3 linked regions of the Drosophila melanogaster genome follow. The protein of the gene in region 3 interacts with the protein of the main gene of each other region in a pairwise test. Each region holds a gene or a part of one and is shown on either strand. Other genes may lie near its edges.

Region 1 (6,769 bases), 8.2 Mb from region 3:
GAAAGTTTCACTGCCACAATTAAGTTTTAATGTCAAGAGATCTAAGCGAGTGATTTCCCTGAAACAAGTTCCTACGCACTCGAAAACTTTCTTCGCCGAATGCACTAAAAGAACGTACAGAAGAGCACTAAAAAGCTTGCCATAGCTTGACATAGATTCTATTCGGCCGGGTCTAGGGTTTGTATGGCTGAAATGGCCACGTTCTCAGCGTAGAAATCAATGGCTCACCTGGGAAGTAGCCGAGGTGCATAATTGGGTTAGCGTAGCAGCAGAACGGCCTGCATTGAAACCACAAATTACTGGGGCTCCGGCTCTCCCAGGTGCCAGTTAGCTGTTTCTGTTTATTTTCCCCCTCATAAACAACGGTTTGGGCTGGGATTCTCCTCCTCGCCGAAGGTCAGACTTAATTGGCCCGGGCCTAGGCAACGACATCCCACTAGCAGTCCCGTTTCGCCTGCATTTATAAATAGGCCCCAAGGTCTCTGGGTCTTGGGTCTTCGGTCTTCGGTCTTCGGTCTTCAACTTCTCGACTCGCTCTTCGGCTGCTTGGATTTCAGTTGGGGTTCGATTTATCGCCTTTTGATTGCTGCATTCCAATTGTGGATCAAGTGGTGCGTGTGGCGCATTCGGGGCTTACAACGTGTTGCTGCTAATTTCGTATGCTCCCTTCGGCTCTGCGCACTCGAAACCATAAATCTTGTGGCAATTTTATTGATGCCTGCGTGTGCCACAAAGGTCGACCCCCCGTTCGATGCTGCTTAATCAAGGAATATGCATTATTTCACAGCGCAGTCAGTAGCTGGCTGCTCGGGGCATAAAAGCCAATAAAAGAATAAATTGCAGTTGTATCACAGCAAAGTTAATCACAAAATTAATGGTTCTGGGCTAATAAAGACTGGTCTGCAATGAAAACAAATGACTTAAGGCACGAACCTGAAATCAATTTCTCTGATTTCAGACATTTGTTATTCATGATTATCGATCAAAAACGGTCCGAAGCTAAGTCTTAATCCTGACATCTGTTGATACCCGAGAAGTGTGTGAAGTCTTCACGCCGAAGTGCTTGTCAAATCAAAAAAAAAAAAAAAGAACATGACTCTTGAGTCACTATGTGCGAAACTTTCTAACGAGTTCCAGGCAAACATTTTAATTGAATTGCCCGGCAACGAATCGATTCTTTCATCACGGTAAGTCTCTTACCATTTTGGCTTATGTCATGTTCTGGGCCCGTTCCGAGCTGATTACCTTTCCACTTCCCACACGCATTTCGCTTCTATTCTCGTGGCTCACTCCACTTGTAATGGCCAGTCACTTCGCTCCTGTCCAGTCACACTCAATCAAGCCAATAAACGGCCAATTAATCAAAGTCAGCGCTGTGATTCTGTGTTCTTGCTAGGTGCGAGTTTGCGAAACAGTAGACTGAAGAAGCGACTGTCAGCACATTTAATCAAATGCTTGAGAAATATCTGACAATATGTTAGGCAAACTATTTGCCTAACCCAAGGGATCGGGGAAGATTTCGATCTGCGAAATCCTAGAGTTGTAAGCCTGCATATCAATTGGTGTTGTGTACCCTGGAGCTGGTAACCAAATCCCACAGATCCACGCCCCCAGATAAAAGCCAGGCCAAGGCGCTCGACTACGTGCCCGAATCGCGGTCTTCTCTTCGACTCTCTCTTCTGCCCAAAACCCAGTTCTCTTACACCTGATCGGGCCCTGTTTTCTTGGCCATTTCTTTCGCTTCGTCGTTTGCATCGCTAATGGAAATGTTATAAACAGACGCGCTGGGCCCGGCCAGCACTCAGTTCATCTTCAGACGTCGCCTGGCTCGCTGGCTCTTGGTTCTTGGTAGGAGTTCCATTTCCAGACCCTATTTATTGTGCGTGACAAAAAAAAAGAAAGAAAAACAACGGAACCTGAAACAATCGTAAATTGAAAGCTCAGCAGGATTGGTTTTATAGTGCTTTTAGTGTGTGTGATTTTGCCGCGTGATAACCCAGAGTGCCACTCATTCCCGTTCTCGTTTGCAGTTCAAGGATATATTGTCAAGGCGAGGATTGGTCAACGCCACGAACACCAAGCATTTATTGAAAAATCTGAAACTATTCACCAGAACCTCGCGTTAAAATGCGCTTTCTTGTTGTAAGTCAAATCGCATAAAAAAGAAAATTAAATACCATGAATGACTTAACTTCACATTTTGGGAATACAAAACGAAACTAGTTTATACCTGACCGCAATTAATCATTTATTGCTCTGTGCTGCCGCTGAACTCATTAACTCGTCAACTGGCCCAAGTTCGTGCCTTAAGTCTTTTGTTTCTTTCACTTCTGAATCGACACTAACTTTCACTAAGCGACTTTTTTGATTCTTGGCTTGGTTCTTTCCTTTTTTTGATCGCCTTAATTAGCCTTAATTATGCTCTGTGCCATATGCAAATATTAATAAGAGTGCCTAAAATCTTTTTGGGGTTTATAATAATCACAAATCAATTTGGACGCAAAGAACTATATTGGGGAAACTTTTTTTTATATGAATGCAAAAGGTTAAGACTTCTTTGTGCCAGTTATTGTTCACTTAGTAAAGGTTTTTCAAAAGAGTTAATTCTTTCTGAAAAGTGAAACCCTTTTGTCCATTCCATTTGAACGTGACAATATTCTAGCCCCACCCCAATTTAAAAAGTGAGAATTAATCATTCATACCTAGGAAGTATTGTTCCTTGCATTATTCATATTCCCATTATGAAAAGCATGCCCTTAAAAGTCAAAACTCTACAGCGACTCCCATAAGCAACAATGCCATTCAATTATAACCACAACCAATACAACCACTTGGGTTGAAAAGCCCAAAAAATAATTATGACTCAAAGAACATAAAATTAATATGCCGCAAACGTATAAAAATCATGCGTGGGCTAACAAATGGTAATATAAGTCTTCTTTTCCCCCTCCCAACTATCAAACAATCGGTCACATTTGTGTGGGGTTCTTAACTATAAGTGCACTGGTTTGTTTTCGAGTTTGTGATCGTTTCGATAGTGGTTCATAAATTAATCAATTTATGAGTGTAGACAGTTAGCCACACGTCCCAAGTCCATCAATCCCTGCTCAATTAGCTGCATTGGAATGGCTCTGGAATATCATTTAAGACCAAAAGACACCTGATCGGATGTGAAGATCAGGAGACAGACTCATTTATAACTTGTTTGAGAACATAAAATGCTGCGCTTAAACTTTGCATTCGAGCCATTAACCCAGTTTATTTTTGGACAAGACACACCTGATATGGGGTCGAATCGGCATCGTTATGTGAGGGCAATATAATAAATAAGGCGAAATACACAAAAGAAAGCAGACAGAAATACATCTTACTGCTTGGGGATGCAAGAGTTCTTGCAAATCAATGGCAACCAGGTTCGACAGCCTCTGCGCCAGAATCTCTTCTCTCGAGTTACGTTTCGGCACCGAAATCGTAACAGCCGCCTAGAGGTTCAGGTCAATGACACAACACGAGCCTCGACTTCGAATCCAGCTTTGGTTTTGGCTTTTGGTCTCAGTTCCTCTCGGCTTTGTGACATTTCGGCGCTGATAGATAGGCGTGCGGGCTGGTCGTTTCCACCGGCTAACGGTTGCGTCAATATTGACTTTGCCAAAGATGTGGAGAGCCGGCGAGAGTGAGTCAAATATTTGCCGATCGTGAGGTTCTTGACAATCGTATTCGAGGGAAAATCCGTCAAGTACATAAGCCGTTCCTTGCCACCTGGCTCTCACTTTTCGGCGTAGCTTTCAGCAGCGAAAGAAATTATGCAAATGTGCTGGAGGAGCAGGGAGAGAGAGACTTTCGCGACTTTCGGGACTTGACCGCATTCCACACGTGTGAATTTTGTATCCATTACGACATCAGAATACAGACACCCTATCTAACCGGCATAAATCATAGATCTCATTCATCTATTGTCACACATTTGTCTTTCAGCTCTCAACACTGCTTCTGGCCTCTTTGGCACTTGGCCAGGCTCAACAGCACGGTGGACTGGCCGTCGAGTAAGTAGACTAGTAGCTAGTTACCCAGCCCTAAGACCCCAAATAACCATGAAATGCCTTGCCTGCCAAATGTGACTGTGTCAACGCTAATGCTCATTCCAAGTAGAAGTTGATGCGCTTGCCTAGAACTATGTGACTAAACCGAAAAAAGCCCAGACTTGTGACTAACCCTCAAAACTCATTTCCCTCCACCCAACAACACATTACCCTGCATTAGCAACTAGAAGCTAACTCCACCAACAGATAGAGACCACCAAACAAACCCCACCTTTCGTTTGCAGAATTCAGAAGCAGCGGCTGGTCAAATTTCCCGAGGACTTTGAGCCCAATGCGGCCACTCCGTCCTCGGAAAAGGCGGACGAGGCCAAGCGCATCCTCGAGCAGATAGCCAAGGTTAACGAGGCCTTTGGCTACGTGAAGAAGCAGCCGGAGCAGCCCAAGCTGCCACCGATCCTTGATTCCAGTCAATACCTGTTCCCCAAGCCCGCCCATCAGCCATTTCACGCCCATCAGCACCACTTCTCGGGAAGTAATGGTCAGACCTTGTTAGAACCCTCAATTAGGGCGGTGAAACTCACAAGAAATGTGGCGGGCAGTTACAATGTGCCTCCCAGGTTGCGCCAGGCAATTGAGAGCACCTCCAAGGAGGAGAAGAAAGCGCAACTCTACTTCCGACCCAAACAGGTGGAGGTACCGAAGCCGAGTTCCGAACAAGAAGCACAGCAGCTGCCCGCCCACTTTGTGGTGCCCGTGCACCTGTACAAACTCAATAAGGAGGAGTATCTCAAGGAGCACGCCTCGCAGGAATACAAGATAAAGGGATACAAAATCATTGGCGATGTGGACAGCTTCTATGGCAAGGCGAAGGCTGGAAGAAAACAGGGCAAGACGACGCCCAAGTATCACCTGTTCTTCCTGCCCCGAGAACTGGCTCTCAATGAAGATGGCACCCCAAAAAGGGGTAATTCCACCACCATTGGTACGACCACCACAAAGGCTCCAGTGCCTGTGAACTTCAAGGAATATCGTTTGGACTCCCGCGAGAAGCCCGTGCATAAGCCACAGAAGATTCAGCCCACTTCGTCACCGGAATTAAATTCTTTGAACAGAAAGAAGGTTGGTTCCACAGCGAAACCCGTTCGCTTGAGTGGAAAGGATGCTGAACAGCAAATCTACCAGGGATCCACATCCCTTAATATCAAGGCTACATCTGCGCCTGTCCTGTTGAGTTCTACTTTACCACCATCTGGTGGCTTGCTGCCCAATCGGAATCGCTTAAGTCCATTCCGCATGCCCGGAATGAATATAGCTGAGATGCAGAATCAGACCTCGACTGCCATCAAGAATGCCTTTCAAAACATTTTCAAGCTCCCCTTCCGACCTCCAATGGCGGCCACAGCTGGAGAAGGTCCTGTGGTTGTTGGCAATGTTCCTGTGAAGAATCACTCAATCGATTCGATGGATTATAAATGGGAGGATGAAAACGAGGGCGCCGGCGATGGGATGGCCGATGATGTGGATACCATTGAGAACACAGCCGCGGAACTGGACAACAGTGCCTCCTCAGAGAAGCACTTGTTTGCTCACAAGGGCCATCACCTGATGCACACTGTGAGCCAGGTGGCCACCGCTCAGGAAAGCACCCAAAAGCAGGCATTGCGCGAAGGAGGAATCATCATTCAGCGGCTAAAGGTTCGCAGGGGCGGCATCGCTATCGCAGGACCCGGGGGCGTGGCCACGGCGGGCAGCGGAGGAACGGCGATTGTTGGTCCCGGTGGCTATGCTCTCACCCATCCACGGAGTCTCACCATCGCCGGTCCCGGGGCCAAGGTGATCTCCATACCGGCAGATGTGGACCTTAAAGATGCCCTGGCACGCACCGATCTGGAGACGAGAAGTTTTCCGCGAGAGGGAAAGATAGTGGCTACAGGACCAACGGTCTACTATGCTCCACCCACGGGCACAACAACCATGGAGGCGGATCAGGGGGCGGGGCTGGAGACGGGCCAGTTCGAGTCCTAATCCAGTTCGAGGCTTAAACCTAATAGCTATTATTTAGCACATTTAGTTAGGATCCATAGTTGGTATTGTCTAGTGTTCTAATAAATATTTGTATTTCGTAATTGTTTGGGCTTTTGCTTTCATCTTGTACATAGTAGTTTTAGATATCACACTTATTCCGCATGATATTAACCCGACACAGTTTAACCCCTCGAATTATTGCTGTAAATAATATACGACTAACCGGCGGTTCTCTTCACCATTTTCCTCTATCCCACTCTTCCTAAACCAAAAACTATCCTAACTCAAGTGCCTACTGGCGCACAACCAATATCGAGGCCTGGCCACCAGGAGCACCCGTCGCAGAGAAGTCCGGAAAACTCATTGCAGGATCTGCTCCGGCCCAGGACCTCACGCCCTATGGAGCCTATCAACCCGTGCTGTTCAGTGCCCCATACTACGCCGCCTACAATCTGCCCCTGGCCTATGTGGTGCAACCCACCATCGCCAGTGCCGATCAAGCCACCATAGCCAGTGCAACAACCACAACGACCACTACCACAACTGGCCGACCCGAAAGCTTAGCTGATGACAGCTCCAGCGAGTTGGAGAAACCAGAAAAGCTACAGGCTCTGCCTGCAGTGAAGACCCGAACCACTGGGGATCTGAAGAGTGATGTGGGTCTCCGCTCAGCGGTCAGCAAAATAAACCCCGAGTATGTGATC
Region 2 (3,472 bases), 640 kb from region 3:
TTCATCATTGTCGCTCAGCTCCTCGCAGTCCTCGTCATCGGGCGGTGGCGCCAGCTTGTCAGCGTCGCCCTGCAGCTTCTTCAGCATTCGCGCAGACATCCTTCAAGTGTCCTTATACCCCTTAGCAGGAATTCTATTTAATTTCGTCGCAAAATACGTGTGTATTTCGCTGTTTTTTTTTTCTTCACCACATTCGCTTTCGCACGGCTGCAGGGTTGCCGAGCTCTGTGGCCACGCGCGCTTCACAGCACTGGCCTAGACAGGTGGTCCCGTCTTGGCGGGAATTGAAAAAGAAGTTCTAAATTTTAGCAAGTGCTATACACCTATACGCCTTGCCTGTAGAAGTTGGATCAAACTTGACGTGTTATTCACAGAAATTTTAATAAGTTTACTTTTTGTCTCTTCATAAAGTGAAATAGGAAAAAGCATTTTAAATTGTTTTGAAAAAATTTATTTTTATTCGACATTTCCTATTTTAAACTTATTTACTTCTAGTAAAGTGAGAATATAACATCTTACGCATTTATTGGTATACAAGCATAAACTAATTATCTATCTCAAAATAGAATATGCAACCAAAATGTCCTTTATTGACAAATAATTTTCGTACAATTTCGGTGCAATTTACTGCCTTATGTTCTAAAAACTGCCATGATAAGGAATTTACAAACGAGTCTTGCCATAATAGGCGCCTGCGACAGCGGACAGTATAATGATTACTATGGCGGCCATGTAGAAGAAAGTGCGCCCAATCGCCTGGTCACGCAAGCCGTCGATCTGGTCTGTGAGGGCCATATGCTCGTCCTCCAGCATGCTGACTTGCTTGAGCAACTTGGCCATTGGCTCACTGACTTCCTGGGCATCAAAATGGACCTCTCCGTCCTTGTTGTCCGTGGATATTACAGCTGAACCTCCCGCCTGACGGAAATCGTCCTCCTTCGAAGGGACTAGCTCACATTTGATCTTGGTTTCCCGAGTTTCATTCGGGTTCTGCATCTTCCAAAACTCCTGCACATCGCTTATGTCACCAGTCACCTCGGCGGCCAGGAGAAGGAACTTATGACGCTTCTTTATCTGCTCCTGCAGAATTGGCTGCATGAATATGTCAACGCTGACCTTCTGCTCGGGCCCCAAGACACCGATGTTGGGGCGTACATAAAAAAGTTTTGGAGTGGTGGTCTTCATCTTGAAGGCCATTCGCTGGGTCTTACTGGTGTTCTTGATGACTAGCTTCCTGCTCACCGAGCGGTTGAATGGTCCCTCAAAGACGATCACATCGCACGGGTCTAGCGCAAGTTTGCTCTCGGTATTGTCGGACATATTGGAATATTTGTACCTTTTTATTTTTCAAAAAATCGGAAGCGATATGAACTGGAACCGATTATGACCAATATATGAAAAAATGTGGTACCAAATGAACACGTTCCCTGACAATGCCGTAGTGCAAATGACAGAAAAAGGAATGTGAAACTTTCCATTTCAGGGCTGAATTGAGTTCACATATTGCTTGATTTCGTATGAATTCAACTTTTCTGGTGTGGACACACTGGTCGGTTTTGAAAGTCATATGCGCAGCATCACTATTATAGATTGCAGCTATTAGCTTATGTTGCTTAAAGGAATGTCTTAAAAGCTATATTTTAGGCTAATTTCATAAATTATATACAAACCTGTCTTTAAATAATGTTCAAAAACTTTTTAGAACTTTTGCAAATTGTAGTTTTTTGTATTTGTAAGTTCAAGATGTTTAGATAACAACATGATTTCGAGTTTCAGATCGTTCGTTTTATTTGTTTTTTGTTTTATTAAATATTTACAAAAATTCGATACGTTTGTGTGACTGAATGTGTGTCAGGTGGGGGATGGTCCATCATTTACCAAAATATCATGCGCCCGGCATTGGGGGAGGTGGCCTTGGACAGAATGATGCCCGAAAGTTCCTCGTCCTCCATTTCGTTGCTGTTTCGAGTGGGAGGAGGTATGGGTAAGATACAAATTAAAAAATGTTTGACAGGACTCTTTCGATTTATGCAATTATATACACGTTTATTGGTATCGCTATTTGCTTTGATTGCTTTCTTTCTTTTTTTTGTTGCTTGCTTGGTAATAAATAACAATGAATGTTGGTTGTCGAGACGGCGGATGCTGAGTGTAGGCATCGTATTAATCTCACGGTGTGCGATGATGGGTTTTTCGAAATCGAAATCGATTCGATTTGGTGGGTGGGTGCTTTTGTGGGCGGGGGCAGTACAACAGGCACAACGATAACAACAGTTACAACGGATTGCGGTAGCCAATTTCGCTTTTATGGTCTACAAAAAAGTCCGGATATAGAGAAAGAAAGAGGGAAGAAATAAAAGTGATAAGATATATACAAATAAAACATTTCGAATTCCATTAAAGGCACAAACACAAATTCAAATGCAGAACGCAATACAAACATTGAACAAAACGTATAATATCGGTACATGCGATTGATGATATAGTATGGACTGATTAAGCAGGGGAACAGGGCTAAATAGGGCCAATAATACACATTTAGTTTGAATTAAGTCACATTTTATTTCCTTTTTTTTTTGTATGTATTTCGATTTTTTCGGCTTTCGTATTTAACTTTAGGCACTATTTAAATATTAAATATATATTGCAAAAATCAATAAAAATATGCCTTAAAAACTCCTGCGCTAAAAATTAGGTTTGTACAGCATGTTTTGTTGTAAAAATTTTGCATTAAGTAAATTTCGATTATACGTAGTTTAAATATCACTTATGTAAATATTTTCGTTTTAAGCCACACGGGTTAATTTTAAATTTTGCAATTTTTAGTTTACGTTTTGCGGACGGTTACAAGAACATGTTGCATTCGCGAAAAATGTACAAATTTTTAAACATATTATTTATAAATAGCATTTTAAATATAGAGTGTTTTCGCTCTCCAATATATTTTTGTTTCTTGTAGTGTTTAGAATTAGATGGTTTCTGTTTTGTGTTCTATAAATTAGGTTTCGTATTTATGCAGTCGTTAATTGTATTTTTCTTTTCATAAATTAGTTTTCGCAATTTAAATTCGCTTACTTATTTTTCAATAAAAAAATAATTATCAAAATCAACAACTAATCACAAGGCAAATAGAGTTTGAAGATATAGAAATTGGCGGGGGAGGGGCGTTCGTATATATTTTTTGGGCAACGCAGGCGAGTTTTAGTGGATGCTTAGCGAAACGAGTCAACGAGTGGCGAGTAAAAATAGCGAACGAGTACCAACACCAGAGAAAGAGAAGTAGAGTCAGCGAGTGGAGGTAGAAAGGTTGTAAGGGTCCCCAGGGGGTGGATGAATGCGTGATTGGATGAGATTCTTTTTAGATGGCACAAATGCAGCGAGTGGCGAGAAACGGGTTAACAGGCACTTAGTGGGCGATTGGCGAGTAACTAGAAGCACCTTTTCACAATCTGATTTCTTTCGAAGTAACATC
Region 3 (5,124 bases):
GCATGATTGACCGACTGCGTGGTGCACCTCGCCGTTGCTCCCGGGGATTGCCGGGTCTGACTTTTATGGCCGTCGGTGTATTTCTTTTTATTGCCTGCCCAAAATCCGTTTCTAGTTTTCCACCGCCACCATTCGTTCCTCTTGATTTGTTTGCATTCAGCTTTTCAGTTTTCGGTTTTCAGTTTTTAGCGTTTGCAGCGTTTTTTCTGGGTTGCGTTGGCGTCTCCGGCGGCAGCACGCACTGGGAAAATATTTGTGGAAAGCATGCGAAATGCACGCGCCTGTTGTGGATCTTTTATATTTTTTAATGCAGCGCTGAAAGCTATTTGTATCTGTCGGTCAGATTGGGTTAAGACTAAGACGCCGCCCCTGCGTGTCTTTCGTCAAAGTGTCGAGCCACTTTGCCAGGGGGCTAGCTATTAGCCCATTGATGCCGATGCCTTTGGCTTTGGCTTTTCCACTCCACGCCCTTTCTTCTCTATTAATTTAGAGCATCTTTGTCTGATTTATGGCGCAAGCATTCTATTTCACTCGCATGCTTTTTGGCATTTTGCGCATATTTAGTTTAAATGTCTTAAGTAAAACCGAAACGAATGCCAGTTTTATTTCGTATTTAGACGTCATCTTTTTAGCCGCACGTTTCCGGTGACTGCCGGCAACAGCAGTGGCAACTGCAAAAGTGGCACAAAGATTTTTATTTTTAAAACCAGAACAAATATGCGATATGTGTCGTTGTCTTCTGCATGATATCTGTGATAGTTTCCCCGGCCATTCTTTGATACACAAATTAACCGAATAATGAATGCACGGAGCAGAGGGTAAGTAAATAAGTAAGGGTGTTTCATGATTTAAGAAAATACAGATATAAACGAATCTTATTTGGTGGGAGAAATTAAAAGGCTCCATTGCAAAAGATCTTAAATAAAACTCATAGGAAAGTTCATTTCTTAAGTTGAGAGTAATTTTTCATTCGCGTTTTTCATTCTAAAGATAATAATCCAAGGGAATTATTCTTCAGGTTGTAGACCCTCGGGATCTTTGGCCTGCCTTTCGCTGTCTTTCATTCATGAGAACATGACAGACCACATCTGTATCTGTAGGTGACAATTATTGTTTGCATCATACATACTTTTTGTGTCACTTGCTGGATACCCCATGCTCCCCGCCCTCGATTAGTATCCCACTCATCGATTAGTCAGCGATGCCAAAAATAATTAAATAAAATTATTCGACTTATAATAGACCGAAATAGCTACGACGGAATGAAGCAGCCTAAATAGATGTCGAATATTTTAGAGTTGCATTTTGTTAGCATTACAAGAATTTTTACGCATTTCCTTACATTGCGATAATTGAAATCGAGAAGCTGGCACATATAGCCGGTTGGCCGATTTATGTCAGATATATATGGGGACCAGATACACACGGGAATAAGAAACGATGAATCAATGAAGACACGAAGCCTTAAATGCTCTTTGTTATGACTATGGTTTTCTTTGTGGCCAAAAGTTGCACAATGTATTTCGAACTCTTGTAAAACTTAATTTCAAATGCTCTAAGTAGTTAATTTTAGAAATACATATTATTTCGTTAATTTACTTTTAGTTCTATTGTAATAATTAGGTTGTTTTGTTATATTTTATATTTTACTTGTCCGTTTAGCACGACCCAGAAAAATGCTTGTCCGTTCAAGAGAGAATCGGAATGAATTGTCCGTACAAAGGATCTGTCGAAATCCTTAAAGTTATGCTGGAACTAATAATGATACCCTCATTCAGGGTATGTTTAAAACATTTATTTGTTTCTCGATTGCAATTTACGAATGCGATCGCCGACTGAGGAGAGCCGGCAGAATCTCCGAGAGCTTCATCTCCGATCGAATCTCTCGCTTGCCGAAAATACACGCATACTCAAAGCGAGAGCGCCGGAGATTTTCCTCCACTCAGCTTTTCACGCAATTCGGTGCGAGGGAAAATCTCGGCACAAAAATATTTTCACTGCGGCCAGACAGTTTTCCTTTGACAACGCGCCGAGTCGCACATGATTTTCCTCTCGGCCGGATTCGCTGTGGTCCAACAAAAAGAACCGAGAACTAAAAACAAAAATCGCGACACAATCTTTCAGCGAGTGTGTGAATGTTGCTAAATTTATAAATAACAGCTTAAGTTGTGCTGCTCCCAAAGTAAATTGAAATAAAAGCAAAAGTGATACGCGTCCGTCGTCGTGAAACGGAAAACGCAGGCGATGGAAAATGGGAAAATAGGAAAAAATAAGAAAAATAAGAAAAATATCAACGCATAAATAAAGCGCGAGCCTCGCGTCCGATTCTGTCGCATTCGCCGGCTGCATTCCCAAATAGATCGGGGCGCTATAGTCTATATCTGCTCGTATGCCCTATAGGCATCGACAGTATATATCCCAAACCTGCCCGGTGCGTGCCGGTGGATTATGTAAAGTGACACACGGCCGATCCCGATACCGATCTCGGAGTATCGCCCAGCGCAAATAAAAGCAAAGGAAATAATAGTTTACTTAGCAGAAAAGAAATAAATACAATAAAATAAAATTGAATAAAATAGGGGAATGCAGAGAGAGTGTCGTAGAAATTTGTCGCACGCGCGCGATTTCAGTAAGTGCATCTAATTTATTTTGCATCTATTGCAATTGAGAGTCGGCATCCGGCAGATACGTTTTCGTAATTGTCGTCAGCGGTTCGAGTTCCTCCGTTTCGATCTCGCGCGAGTGTTTGCCAGATTGGATTACCAAACCCAGGCCATACCAAAATAAATTATACACCAATTTTGAAAGGGCGATAAACATACATTGTGACCGAATTTTGATCCGATCTGCGATCGAGGATCGCTTGCCAAGAGCAACGTAATGTCGTCCTACCGCAGTTATGTAAGTACTAGTTAATGCAGCGCCAACTATCCGTATCTGTATCTGCATAATACCTACTCGTACTATATAGTGTGTATCTCGATCTTTGTATCTTCGCTCTGTGCCTTTTTGCAATTCTTCGCATCCACGGATTTTGTTTATTTCTAATTTGTTGCCTTACCCCACACACAAGAGTATTTCGCAGATACATACGTATACGTTTTATATGGCAGATAAAATGTATCTGAATGTTCGCTCTCGATGTGGTGTGGGCTCCAGATCCATTGATAAACAATTTAGATACAAATTTGCTCATTGTCTGGTTTTTTGGTTGGGATTTGTGTCTAGTTGATTGTTCTAATTTCCTATCCACACAAATAGCACAAATTATGGCCGAGGTGTGGCTACTGAATGAACGAATTGTTGTGTTTGAATAGCAAACCAATGCATGAATAAATGGCTTTTACTTTGGCAAAGCAGGTTAAGTTCCGAATTTTAAACCTATTTAACTTGATTTATGTTAGTATTTGCGTATATGCACAGTTGTCAAAGGAATTAATTTTGAGTTATTTGACATACTTTATGGCAGATTCATTATTGATACTGACCAATGACTGACAGTTCCCAAGTAAACATTTTGTGTTATTTATTGAACTTATCATCATATTTATTTATATTATTAACCCGTTCGACATCATGTGATACTTGTGAACTTTTATATAAAAAGTGCATTATTTCTATATCTATCCTATAATATAAATACACTTAATTTCGGTTGTCATTCCCAAACTTCCAAATCGCTTTCTACTAATCCCCTTTATGTTCAACTCATTATATCCTTTTGTTCCCAGGCATCCAGTTTATGACTTTAGCCTGACTTTTGACTCATTGAGCATAAATCAATTAAATATTTTTCGGGTCTTAGAATCTAATAAACTGATCAATTTATGGGCGGCAAACAACAAGTTTCCACCCCATCCCACGCACATCTACCACTTCATCTTCTCCCGAGTCATTTCTCCAATTATATATAGAATGTTTCTAAAAATGTTGGGAGTAAAGCAAAATGATTTCTGTTTCGTTCACGTTGACGCAGTCTCTTTTTTCCTCATTGGAGTTGGTACTTTGTGTAGGATTTTTATGGCCAGAAGGAAGTTGTAAATATTTATGACAAGCATAAAGTTGAAAGTTCTCCGGTGAGAGCACGCACCACCTAATTAATTAACAAAGTGTGAATACTCATGCAATTTGTTTGTGAGGGGAGAAAGTAGGGGAACGGTAATGGAGAAACAATAAAGTTGCAAATATAACTAAAGCTTTTAACTTCATATTCAAAAAAAATAAGTATATATTATCATATAACTAAATTTATATTCATAATGTATTAGCGAAAGCGGTAATGATTAAACATTGTTTCGATTATTGATTTCATTAGAAATATCTCTACTCGTCACACACAATGCGATCACAATCAGTTTTCATTTGAATTATTCATCAAAACAGATCAAAATTTGTTGTAGTGTAGCACAAAGGAAGGCGGTGATAGGCGCTTCTCAAATAGGCTTCGAGATAAGGATTTATGAATCAAGCTATCTGAGTCCGAGATTATCCACGCACACTCACCCGTCCACCCAACTGCCACCCAAGCCCCCCACAACACTCGAACACAGACACAAGTCAAGGACATTTTTTGATAAAAAGATAAAAAATGACACGGCGTCGACGTCCACGATGTAAGGTGAATCCCTCGATAGCGCTGAGAAAGAAGAAACAGGAGACTGCACCCAGTGCAGAAAAGGTAGAGCCACAACGTCCACCGCCCTTGCCGGATCCGCCCAGCGAAGAGCCACCGGAAGTCGTCAGCACTTCGAGCGTAGAATCTGAAATCGAATCGGATTACAAACTCTTCCCGGAACTCTACGATCGCCAGCCGTCGATGCCCACGTTTGCTGATCTTTTTGGTCAGCCCTCTTATGAATCAGTGTTGCAGGAGCCCGAGGTGGCATCTACCTCCTCCTCAACGAACACAAATGCCGCGGGAATACGTAGTACAGACGATGGGAAATTCACTAATATTCCGGCCACGATGCTGTCAGATCAATTTGGGATCATTGGGCTGCTGGCCGCCATGAGGACTACGCAAACGGATCCGGGCGCCACGCAGCTGGTCTTTGGTGAGGATCTAACCACCTACGGACTAGATTTGGCTGCCCAGGGAGACATTTATGTGCATTTCAATGGGCC

Evidence for each region.
Region 1: the proteins of Fhos (region 3) and CG11905 interact in a two-hybrid assay, tested with the Drosophila melanogaster proteins (one large-scale study listed by BioGRID).
Region 2: the proteins of Fhos (region 3) and fan interact in a two-hybrid assay, tested with the Drosophila melanogaster proteins (one large-scale study listed by BioGRID).

The regions. Positions count from the first base shown.
Region 1 is NT_037436.4:16,930,567-16,937,335, reverse strand, and holds CG11905 (uncharacterized protein), read left to right. Parts: upstream 1-1,799; 5' UTR 1,800-1,848; exon of another isoform or gene 1,849-2,030; 5' UTR 2,031-2,127; coding exon 2,128-2,142; intron 2,143-3,975; coding exon 3,976-4,043; intron 4,044-4,324; coding exon 4,325-6,065; 3' UTR 6,066-6,164; downstream 6,165-6,769.
Region 2 is NT_037436.4:8,107,126-8,110,597, reverse strand, and holds fan (farinelli), read right to left. Parts: upstream 1,467-3,472; 5' UTR 1,321-1,466; coding exon 664-1,320; 3' UTR 555-663; downstream 1-554. Other genes in the region: Nulp1 (nuclear localized protein 1), read right to left, coding at 1-99; Sarm (sterile alpha and armadillo motif), read right to left, coding at 1,875-1,959.
Region 3 is NT_037436.4:8,751,595-8,756,718, forward strand, and holds the start of Fhos (formin homology 2 domain containing), read left to right. Parts: upstream 1-2,024; 5' UTR 2,025-2,880; coding exon 2,881-2,901; intron 2,902-4,394; exon of another isoform or gene 4,395-4,588; coding exon of another isoform or gene 4,589-5,124. Other genes in the region: CG6576 (uncharacterized protein), read left to right, coding at 4,589-5,124.